Linked DNA regions of Daphnia pulex. The protein of the gene in region 2 binds, or shares a complex with, the protein of the main gene of each other region. Links are inferred from orthologs where the notes say so. Each region holds a gene or a part of one and is shown on either strand. Other genes may lie near its edges.

The links. The genes of interacting proteins can lie anywhere in the genome.
Region 1: the proteins of 2-oxoisovalerate dehydrogenase subunit alpha, mitochondrial-like (region 2) and 2-oxoisovalerate dehydrogenase subunit beta, mitochondrial-like are in contact, whole or in part, in a crystal structure (PDB 1V16), measured with the Homo sapiens proteins. The link is inferred for Daphnia pulex from reciprocal best matches to the Homo sapiens genes BCKDHA and BCKDHB. Residues at the interface, in NP_000700.1 of Homo sapiens: Phe155, Leu185, Gly186, Lys187, Arg189, Gln190, Gly196, Cys197, Lys198, Phe202, Val203, Thr204, Ser206, Pro208, Thr211, Pro214, Gln215, Val217, Gly218, Ala219, Tyr221, Ala222, Arg225, Gly244, Asp245, Ala248, Asn251, Phe252, Thr255, Leu256; in NP_000047.1 of Homo sapiens: Pro89, Thr90, Val92, Asp117, Arg118, Phe120, Asn121, Thr122, Pro123, Cys125, Gln127, Gly128, Ile129, Gly131, Phe132, Ile134, Gly135, Ile136, Val138, Thr139, Asp158, Gln159, Asn162, Glu163, Ala165, Tyr167, Arg168, Tyr169, Arg170, Ser171.

The regions. Positions count from the first base shown.
Region 1 is NC_060027.1:5,064,289-5,068,536, reverse strand, and holds 2-oxoisovalerate dehydrogenase subunit beta, mitochondrial-like, read left to right. Parts: upstream 1-1,448; 5' UTR 1,449-1,501; coding exon 1,502-1,619; intron 1,620-1,691; coding exon 1,692-1,769; intron 1,770-1,838; coding exon 1,839-2,041; intron 2,042-2,121; coding exon 2,122-2,277; intron 2,278-2,366; coding exon 2,367-2,538; intron 2,539-2,689; coding exon 2,690-2,835; intron 2,836-3,326; coding exon 3,327-3,413; intron 3,414-3,514; coding exon 3,515-3,655; 3' UTR 3,656-3,998; downstream 3,999-4,248. Other genes in the region: feline leukemia virus subgroup C receptor-related protein 2-like, read right to left, coding at 1-113, 224-326, 406-686. UniProt on the Homo sapiens protein: Together with BCKDHA forms the heterotetrameric E1 subunit of the mitochondrial branched-chain alpha-ketoacid dehydrogenase (BCKD) complex.
Region 2 is NC_060021.1:6,462,788-6,466,515, reverse strand, and holds 2-oxoisovalerate dehydrogenase subunit alpha, mitochondrial-like, read left to right. Parts: upstream 1-1,126; 5' UTR 1,127-1,283; coding exon 1,284-1,367; intron 1,368-1,433; coding exon 1,434-1,598; intron 1,599-1,658; coding exon 1,659-1,854; intron 1,855-1,915; coding exon 1,916-2,077; intron 2,078-2,145; coding exon 2,146-2,290; intron 2,291-2,359; exon of another isoform or gene 2,360-2,360; coding exon 2,361-2,564; exon of another isoform or gene 2,565-2,631; coding exon 2,632-2,770; exon of another isoform or gene 2,771-2,855; coding exon 2,856-2,983; exon of another isoform or gene 2,984-3,054; coding exon 3,055-3,133; 3' UTR 3,134-3,228; downstream 3,229-3,728. Other genes in the region: WASH complex subunit 2-like, read right to left, coding at 3,509-3,633, 3,708-3,728. UniProt on the Homo sapiens protein: Together with BCKDHB forms the heterotetrameric E1 subunit of the mitochondrial branched-chain alpha-ketoacid dehydrogenase (BCKD) complex.

The DNA.
Region 1 (4,248 bases), on a different chromosome or scaffold from region 2:
ATCGTTTGACCGATGAGGGCGACGTAAAAGCGATCGGGAGCGACGGATAATACTTTAACCCACGCGCCAGCCGCCGTCCCCAAACTTCCAATCAACAGCGTCACTCGTAAACCCTATTGAGAGATAAATTTAGACCCGGGAGTTATTTATTTATTATTTTCAATGGCCTGCTGTTATCAGCATTTGCACTCTGAAATTCCTGTTTTCCCATGTCTAGACTGACCATTTTATCCATGACCCAGGCACCTGGAAATATCAATGGAACATAAACCACCATGTAAACCAATGACGTCCAGTTGACAGTTTGACTATCGACGCCGTAATATCTAGATACATCAAACAAAAAAAGATATGAACTCGGTACGTAGCTACTTTTAATACGTATGATAATGATATAGGTTGTACTTGATCAGCAAACTGGTTATGATAGAAAACTGGATCCATTGGAAGGCGTTGAGCATTGAGACCGTGACGAAAATCAAGAGCATCAGCCATCTCCGTGGGTACACTTTGGTGGACAGCATTTGCCGATGATCCTGCGATCCGGTGTTTTTCGACTCGGCTTCTTCCGGCACCGAAATGTGGAAAACGACTATCTCGTTCCCATTTTTCTGCGCATGCTTATTGTGATGTGTCAGTAGATCGTGATCGCTGACTGGGCTGGCCGGCGTCATTTTCGACTCCATATGTCTGATGACAAAAAATGTCAATGTTCGCACTATCGTTTTCAGGGACTGGTGCACTTTGAATAGGAATGAGAACGGCGAATTTTATCGATCGTCTATAGCTTGGTTATAGGCCCGGTTCAAGTGACGGGTCAGGCGACAAATAAAGGCGCCATTCTGGTAATAAACTTAAAAAAATAAAAAAAATACAAATTGATGCTGATCAAATGGTTGTTCTCCGTTATTTACACTTGCGGTCCACACTACTGACTTGACTATGTACGAGTGAGCTTAGACTTACAGTCGTACGCGATTATCCTGACGGATGATTGTTGATGTTGGGCTCTCGTGGGATGCCATATTGATATCCTATCACATTGGGAGCGTCCAGTCAACGAATGCCCTTCAAGGTTGAATTGCCAATCGATTTCGTCACAGCAAACATGGATTCTCATTACATTTTGATGGCCGAGTTCAATTGTGTTGGGTCTATTTGTATACTAGCCCACGAAAAGTTGTAAGGTTTCTTTGTTGGGAGAAAATTGCGGTTAAATGTTGAACTAAATTCTGGATAAAAAGAAAAAAAAATTGTAAATGATCGCTCGCCAACTTGATACGCCATCCGGGTCACATGGGGGCGATAACTTTTTATTTCGTGACCCGCGGAACAGGAAGAAGTGCTGCTCTAATCGATTAGAGTAGACAACAAGGAACGGCATTGCGTTTGGTTCAAGAGATGACCGTTCGCAACGATAGATGGCAGCTCTAGTGATGAAAAAACGAATAATCGGAAGTTGGAATCAGACGATATCGACGTAAAATTGCTAAGTGTAAACATGGCTCTCCGTACTTTCATTAAACGGAATCTCATTCTCAACAATAAATGCCCGTTAAGAATATCTCAGCGGTTGTCTCATTTCACTTTCGTTCCAGATACTGTTTCTGCTTCCGAAGGTTCGCCAATCGGTTAATTTTGATGTATATTGAATGCATGGCATCGTTAAAATGAATTTGATTCGCACGCAGGTGAAACTCAGCGGATGAATTTGTTTCAGGCCATCAATAATTCACTTGATATAGCTCTAACCCAAGATCCAACTGCTGGTAAGTAAACATGACAATTAATTCAAATGGTTTGATTTGCACTTTTTAAGAATTTTGATTTGCTTGCAGTTATCTTTGGTGAGGATGTTGCATTTGGTGGAGTGTTTCGCTGCACAGTTGGCCTCCAGGAGAAGCACGGCAAGTCCAGAGTTTTCAACACCCCACTGTGTGAGCAAGGAATTGCTGGATTTGGTATCGGAGCTGCCACTGCTGGAGCCACTGCCATTGCAGAGATTCAGTTTGCAGATTACATCCTTCCAGCATTTGATCAGGTATCATTCAAGAGCCTGAAGCTATATTCATTATCTCGAAACATTAAACAGGTCTTGTTCGAAATCATTATTTTTGCCAGATATGCAATGAAGCTGCCAAATACCGGTACAGGAGTGGGGGCATTTATGATTGTGGATCTCTGACCATCCGTGCTCCCTGCTCTGCAGTAGGGCATGGAGCGGTGTACCACTCCCAAAGCCCTGAAGCTTTCTTTGCTCATTGCCCCGGACTCAAGGTGAAACCTGAATTTCTTGTCATGGATGATAGGTGACACTGTTTTTTTTTTGTTGTTTTTAATGCGGTTCTGTACGTTGTCTTTAAAAGGTTGTGGTTCCCCGAGGGCCCATCAAGGCCAAGGGCTTGCTCCTGTCGTGCATTCGTGACAAAAACCCGTGCTTGTTCTTCGAACCCAAGATCCTGTACCGTAGCGCCGTCGAACAGGTTCCAGTCAAAGAGTACACTATGCCGTTGTCGAAAGCCGACATCCTAGTCGAAGGTTTGTGTCCATAATCAAATCATCATGTGTTGTGTTGGTCTTATCTTTTTTGAGACGTATAAACATATTTTTGATGTCGGGATTTTATTCGCCCGACGATAAAAAGAGAAACGTCGCCAACATATGGGTTTTATTAATCTGATTTCATTAGGAGATGACATCACGCTGGTCGGCTGGGGCACCCAGGTTCATGTTCTGCGCGAAGTCTGCCAACTAGCCAAGGATCAGCTCAACGTTTCGTGCGAACTGATCGATCTGGTTACCATTCTCCCGTGGGACAAGGAGACCATCGCCCAGGTTGGTAACCCGAACATTATGCCCTTTCTCTCCGTTGCTGTGGGAAAAAATAAAAATTGTTTTTAAAAAAAAGGGAGATACCATAAAAAATGAGAAATTTTGAAGCAATCCGAAACGAGAGTCACATGGTTTAAGTGAAACTTCTCTCTTGACATTTGCGCTGAATGGCTGGAATTGTATTTCTGTTTTCGTTTATCACCCAGCCCTTTTGTTGTTGTTGTTGTTGTTGCGGTGGTTGTAACAGTAGAGCTGCCGATTTCTAATTGTGGGCACAACGACCAGGTTTGGACAAAAATATTCGAATTGTGGGAGGGTCGGTGAGGCGAGACGCGGAAGTGAAACCTGTTGACTTATTATCCAATGTGATTGTCGTTTCTTTTTGCCTCTCTTTCGCCATTTTGTTTATATTGATCTTGGTTGTTTTTACTCTATTCGCCATTTTATTATGATTATTATTTTTCGTTAATCGCTTTCTAACTATGTTTCTCTAGTCGGTGAAGAAAACGGGGCGATTGTTGATAGCCCATGAAGCGCCATTGACGTCTGGATTTGGAGCTGAAATAGCGGCCAGCATTCAGGTAACTTTTAAAAAATAAAAAGGCTGTGATGATAAGGTGAACGATCTCAATCAATGCTTCTCTTTGATTAATTCAACACTTTCTTTCTACCCCGAAAACAGCACGAGTGTTTCCTGAATTTAGAGGCGCCCATTGAGCGTGTCACGGGATTCGACACACCTTTCCCGCACATGTTTGAGCCGTTCTACATGCCCGACAAATGGCGTTGCTTCGAAGCTGTCAAGAAACTAGTAAACTATTAAGAGAGCAATTAAAAAAAAAGTCATGTTTAAAACGAAAAAAAAAAAAATAAAGAATTAAAATTTAATTAAAATCGCTTTCGCCAGAGAGATATGATTGTACATTACATAACTAATCTAAAAAAAAAAAAAAAAAAGGAAATTTTGTTTATGCTCATTTGTTCCCTTCACTGAGGTCGAATGTGTACGTGTCCAGGCGTGCATATGTATGTCTCAAGGGTGCGATTACCGTTGCACACTATTTACCAGCAGTCGGCCTTAGCGCAGCTCTCCTTATCTCGGTAGGCAACATGTATGTACCAGCAATGATATAGTATATATATAATATACAGTATACATACAAATATATTCTATATGTCGACTACACAAAACGCTGATTACGTTGTTTGGGGATCGATCTGGATTAGGGAGAGATCCGTGAGGCGTCCACTAAGCAAATTGACGCAAGAGATTCGGTTTACACGAGTTGACTGCAAACAATTCAAATTTTTTTTATCGGTTTTCTAGATGTTTCCAATGTTTACGATCGGCTCGGTTGAGCCCCCATCCGAATGATTAGAAAACTCACGATCATTGCTCACACACAATGAGCCACC
Region 2 (3,728 bases):
AACATTTCTCAAAAGTGGAGCGGATTTTTGTTCAAAAAAGACGGCATATATATTACAGGGCTTTAGGCCATTCATTCGGAATTGCGTAACGCTGTCCTTCTCCTTTCTAATAATTCATACTCTGAGCTTATTGGAGTTTGAACGACACGAACGGCGTCGTGTGTCGTAACATCAATGCCATTCTCTCCTTTTTTTTCTTTCACGCCGAGTGAATGTCTTAATCGTTCACATGTGTCGACGCGCTGCGACACCCAATTTTTTTGTTTTGTTTTCCTCGGGAAAAAAATAAAATAAAAAGCCAAACAGAAAACCACTCGAATAACGGAGCTACAATACAACAAGGCTATCTGGTAGCGAGATCCCAGAAAAGGGGGGTCTCAGAGAACAAAATAAAACCAAATAAAAAATAAGAAAAAAATAAAAAATAAAAAATCATGGCGCTAGCGCGCAGTAAATTTCGTCGTCTTCTCTCGTGGTTCTCACTCGTCGGTTAACCGCGAAACTGGAGGCGGTTTCCTACACATATGGGTGTGTGTGTGTGTGACGCGCCCGACTTTAACGAGAGCCGAGTGGAGAGAAAAACCCTGGGCAACGGAGAACAAATATGTACAATGCATGTAATAAAGTTTAAGGAGAAAAAGAAAAAAACACGGACTAGATGTATCCTCTTGTTAATGCCGTTATGGGCGATTAACTCGCGGCACGAAACCGAATCGTAAAAAAGTAAAAGAGAAAGTGAGACTTATGTATATAGTAGAGCTGCGCGGCATCCTCATTAAGTCGTGATACATAACTTGCACTGATTTCGCCAGCCTCGAAAATATGTATGCACGAAAGAAAGTGATAGCGCAGGAAAGTTATTCCAGCTTTGAAAAAAAAATCATCAATTTTTATGTTTGGAGTCTGAACAATATCCTTTTGAAATAATTCTTCGACCCTACGTCATTGATCTTCGAGCTAGCTTTCAAATTCCATCAGCACGAAAGCTTTTAAAAGCATGGTTCGCCTTTCTTTGTTCATTTTTTTACATATTCGTCTCGCTTTCCATAAATCGTGAGCATCGTGCAAATATCGTGATCGAAAACTTTGGCTACAACTACAAGCTAAATTCGTCCACCTACAGATGGCGTCATTTTCTACGACTACCGACCATTTTTCTCTTCCGACGAAATTTCTTCTGCTGCTGTGTTATCGTTTGAACTAAATTTTACCGAGGAAAAATCTCTGTTGGCGAGGAAGCGTTTTAAATTCTACTTTATCGCATCAATTAAAAAGCCTGCATTATGTTACCCATACGGCTAGCTCGTTTTGGTATTCGCTCGGTAGCTGCCAACTGCAAGCGAATCAACATTGGCTCTCTTTCTCAAGTGCGTATAATATAGTTATACATTTTTGTTTGAAGGGAAAATCAATAATTGATTTCATTAATGTAGGTTGCAAGAGAATTTTCTTCCGATGAAAGACCACAGTTTCCCGGTTCGCGCTCCCAGTGGACTGAAAAGCTAGAATTCATTCGCCCTGACCTCTACGATGGGATCCCAGTCTACAGAGTTATGGATAGGAAAGGAAAAGTTATAGACCCTAGTCAGGATCCCCAAGTAATATTTTATAATCCTATTAAAAGCAACAAATTCTCTAATGACTAACATACCCAATAGTTGTCTCAAGAAATGGTCATCAAAATGTATAAATGCATGACCCAACTCAACACCATGGATAGAATCTTGTATGAATCTCAACGTCAGGGGAGAATTTCTTTCTACATGACAAACTACGGGGAAGAAGGCACACACATTGGGAGTGCAGCTGCCTTAGATCCAAAGGATCTTATTTTTGGACAGTACAGAGAAGCTGGTAAGTAGTTTACCCTTCAAAGGCTTTTTTCAACCATTCTAAAATTGTTTTCTTTCATCAGGAACATTGATGTGGAGAGGATTCACACTTGATCAGTTCATGAACCAGTGCTATGGTAATGTCGATGATGGTGGCAAAGGAAAGCAAATGCCAGTACATTATGGCTCAAAAGAACTCAATTTCGTTACGATTTCTTCGCCGTTGGGTACTCAAATGCCTCAAGGTAATTGTCGATGAAATAACTCTAGAAATTGTTTCCTAACCATTAAGCCCTATTTATTTGCAATAAAGCTGTGGGTGCTGCCTATGCATACAAGAGATCCCAGAATGGTTTGTGTGTCATGTGTTACTTTGGTGAGGGAACATCTAGCGAAGGAGATGCTCATGCCGCCCTAAACTTTTCCGCAACATTAGATTGCCCAGTCATTTTCTTTTGGTAAGTGGTGTTTCTACTTTGACGCGATATGATGAAATAACACTAACCTTTACATCTTTGCGCCAATCAGTCGTAACAATGGTTACGCCATCTCAACTCCTTCCAAAGAGCAGTACCGTGGTGATGGAATTGCCGGCCGTGGCCCCGCTTACGGCATGTTGACCATTAGGGTTGATGGTAACGACGTTTTTGCTGTTTATAATGCCACGCTGAAGGCACGGCAAGTGGCTATCAGCGAGATGCGGCCTGTCCTAATTGAAGCCATGACTTATCGGTTAGTGAAAGGGTAGATTATTTCCTAAAGTGCATGATAATTACCTAATTGGTTGAATCGTTTTCAGAATCGGCCATCACAGCACATCAGACGACAGCACTGCCTACCGTAGCGTTGATGAAGTTCGTTACTGGGATGAGCGTGACCATCCCATTTCCCGTCTGAGGAATTATATGTTATCAAAAGGATGGTGGGGAGATGCTCAGGTACTTACCGTTTTTGCTATGCCCTCACCATGGCGAGGAATGGAGATATAAAAGTTTCTTAATCTCATTGGTGACGTCTTTTCAGGAGAAAGAGTGGAAGGAGGATTGCAAGCGCCAGGTTATGACGGCCTTCGCCCGTGCAGAAAAGAAACTAAAACCCAACTGGAAAGAAATCTTTACTGACGTTTACCATGAAATGCCATCCCACATAAGGTAAACTTTTATTTTTTCTTCTGGCTGACTCAAAAGTATTAATATATTTTGTGTTATCTCTCTTCTTATAGGGAACAAATGAAACAGATGGAAGAGCATGTACAGAAATATGCAGAACATTATCCACTAAAGAACTTCACGAAAGATTAATGATTTAAGATATTCTAGATGTAAACTTGTGTCGTTGTTCAAAGATGATTGATGTTATGAAGCAGACGAGAAAATATTACCAATAATGATACACATATGCTGGAAAGGGATACAGTAAATTATAACTTTGTAGAAGAAAAATTTGTTGGGTTTTATAGGCCACGATCAGTATAATAAGGCCTCGAATGGAATGCTTTCTATTTAGAAATTATGCCCATGGATGCCAATTACGAGGAAAGAATAATCACAGAATATGTTAAGAGTTTAAAAAGTTTCTTTCTTAATACGATATTGGGCAACATGATGATGAAAATAAAGGCACCTAGGCCGACTTAGTTTCGAGACTAGACTCGCTCGAAGGGAGGGTATCGTTACTCATTGTTGGAAATGTAGAAGGGGATCAGATGCTGCTGTAGCAGCAGCTTTATTACCGCTTACAACTAAAGTAGGATCTGGCTTCGGGCGATTATGCAGCTTCGGTGTGCTGGCGAACAGATCATCTAATAAACAATTTGACAGGTGCTTTAGAACGTGCTGGTGCTTTGAGAAAAGGTTTGTATTTTAAAGAGCTTACCGTCATCATCAGAATCGGCAA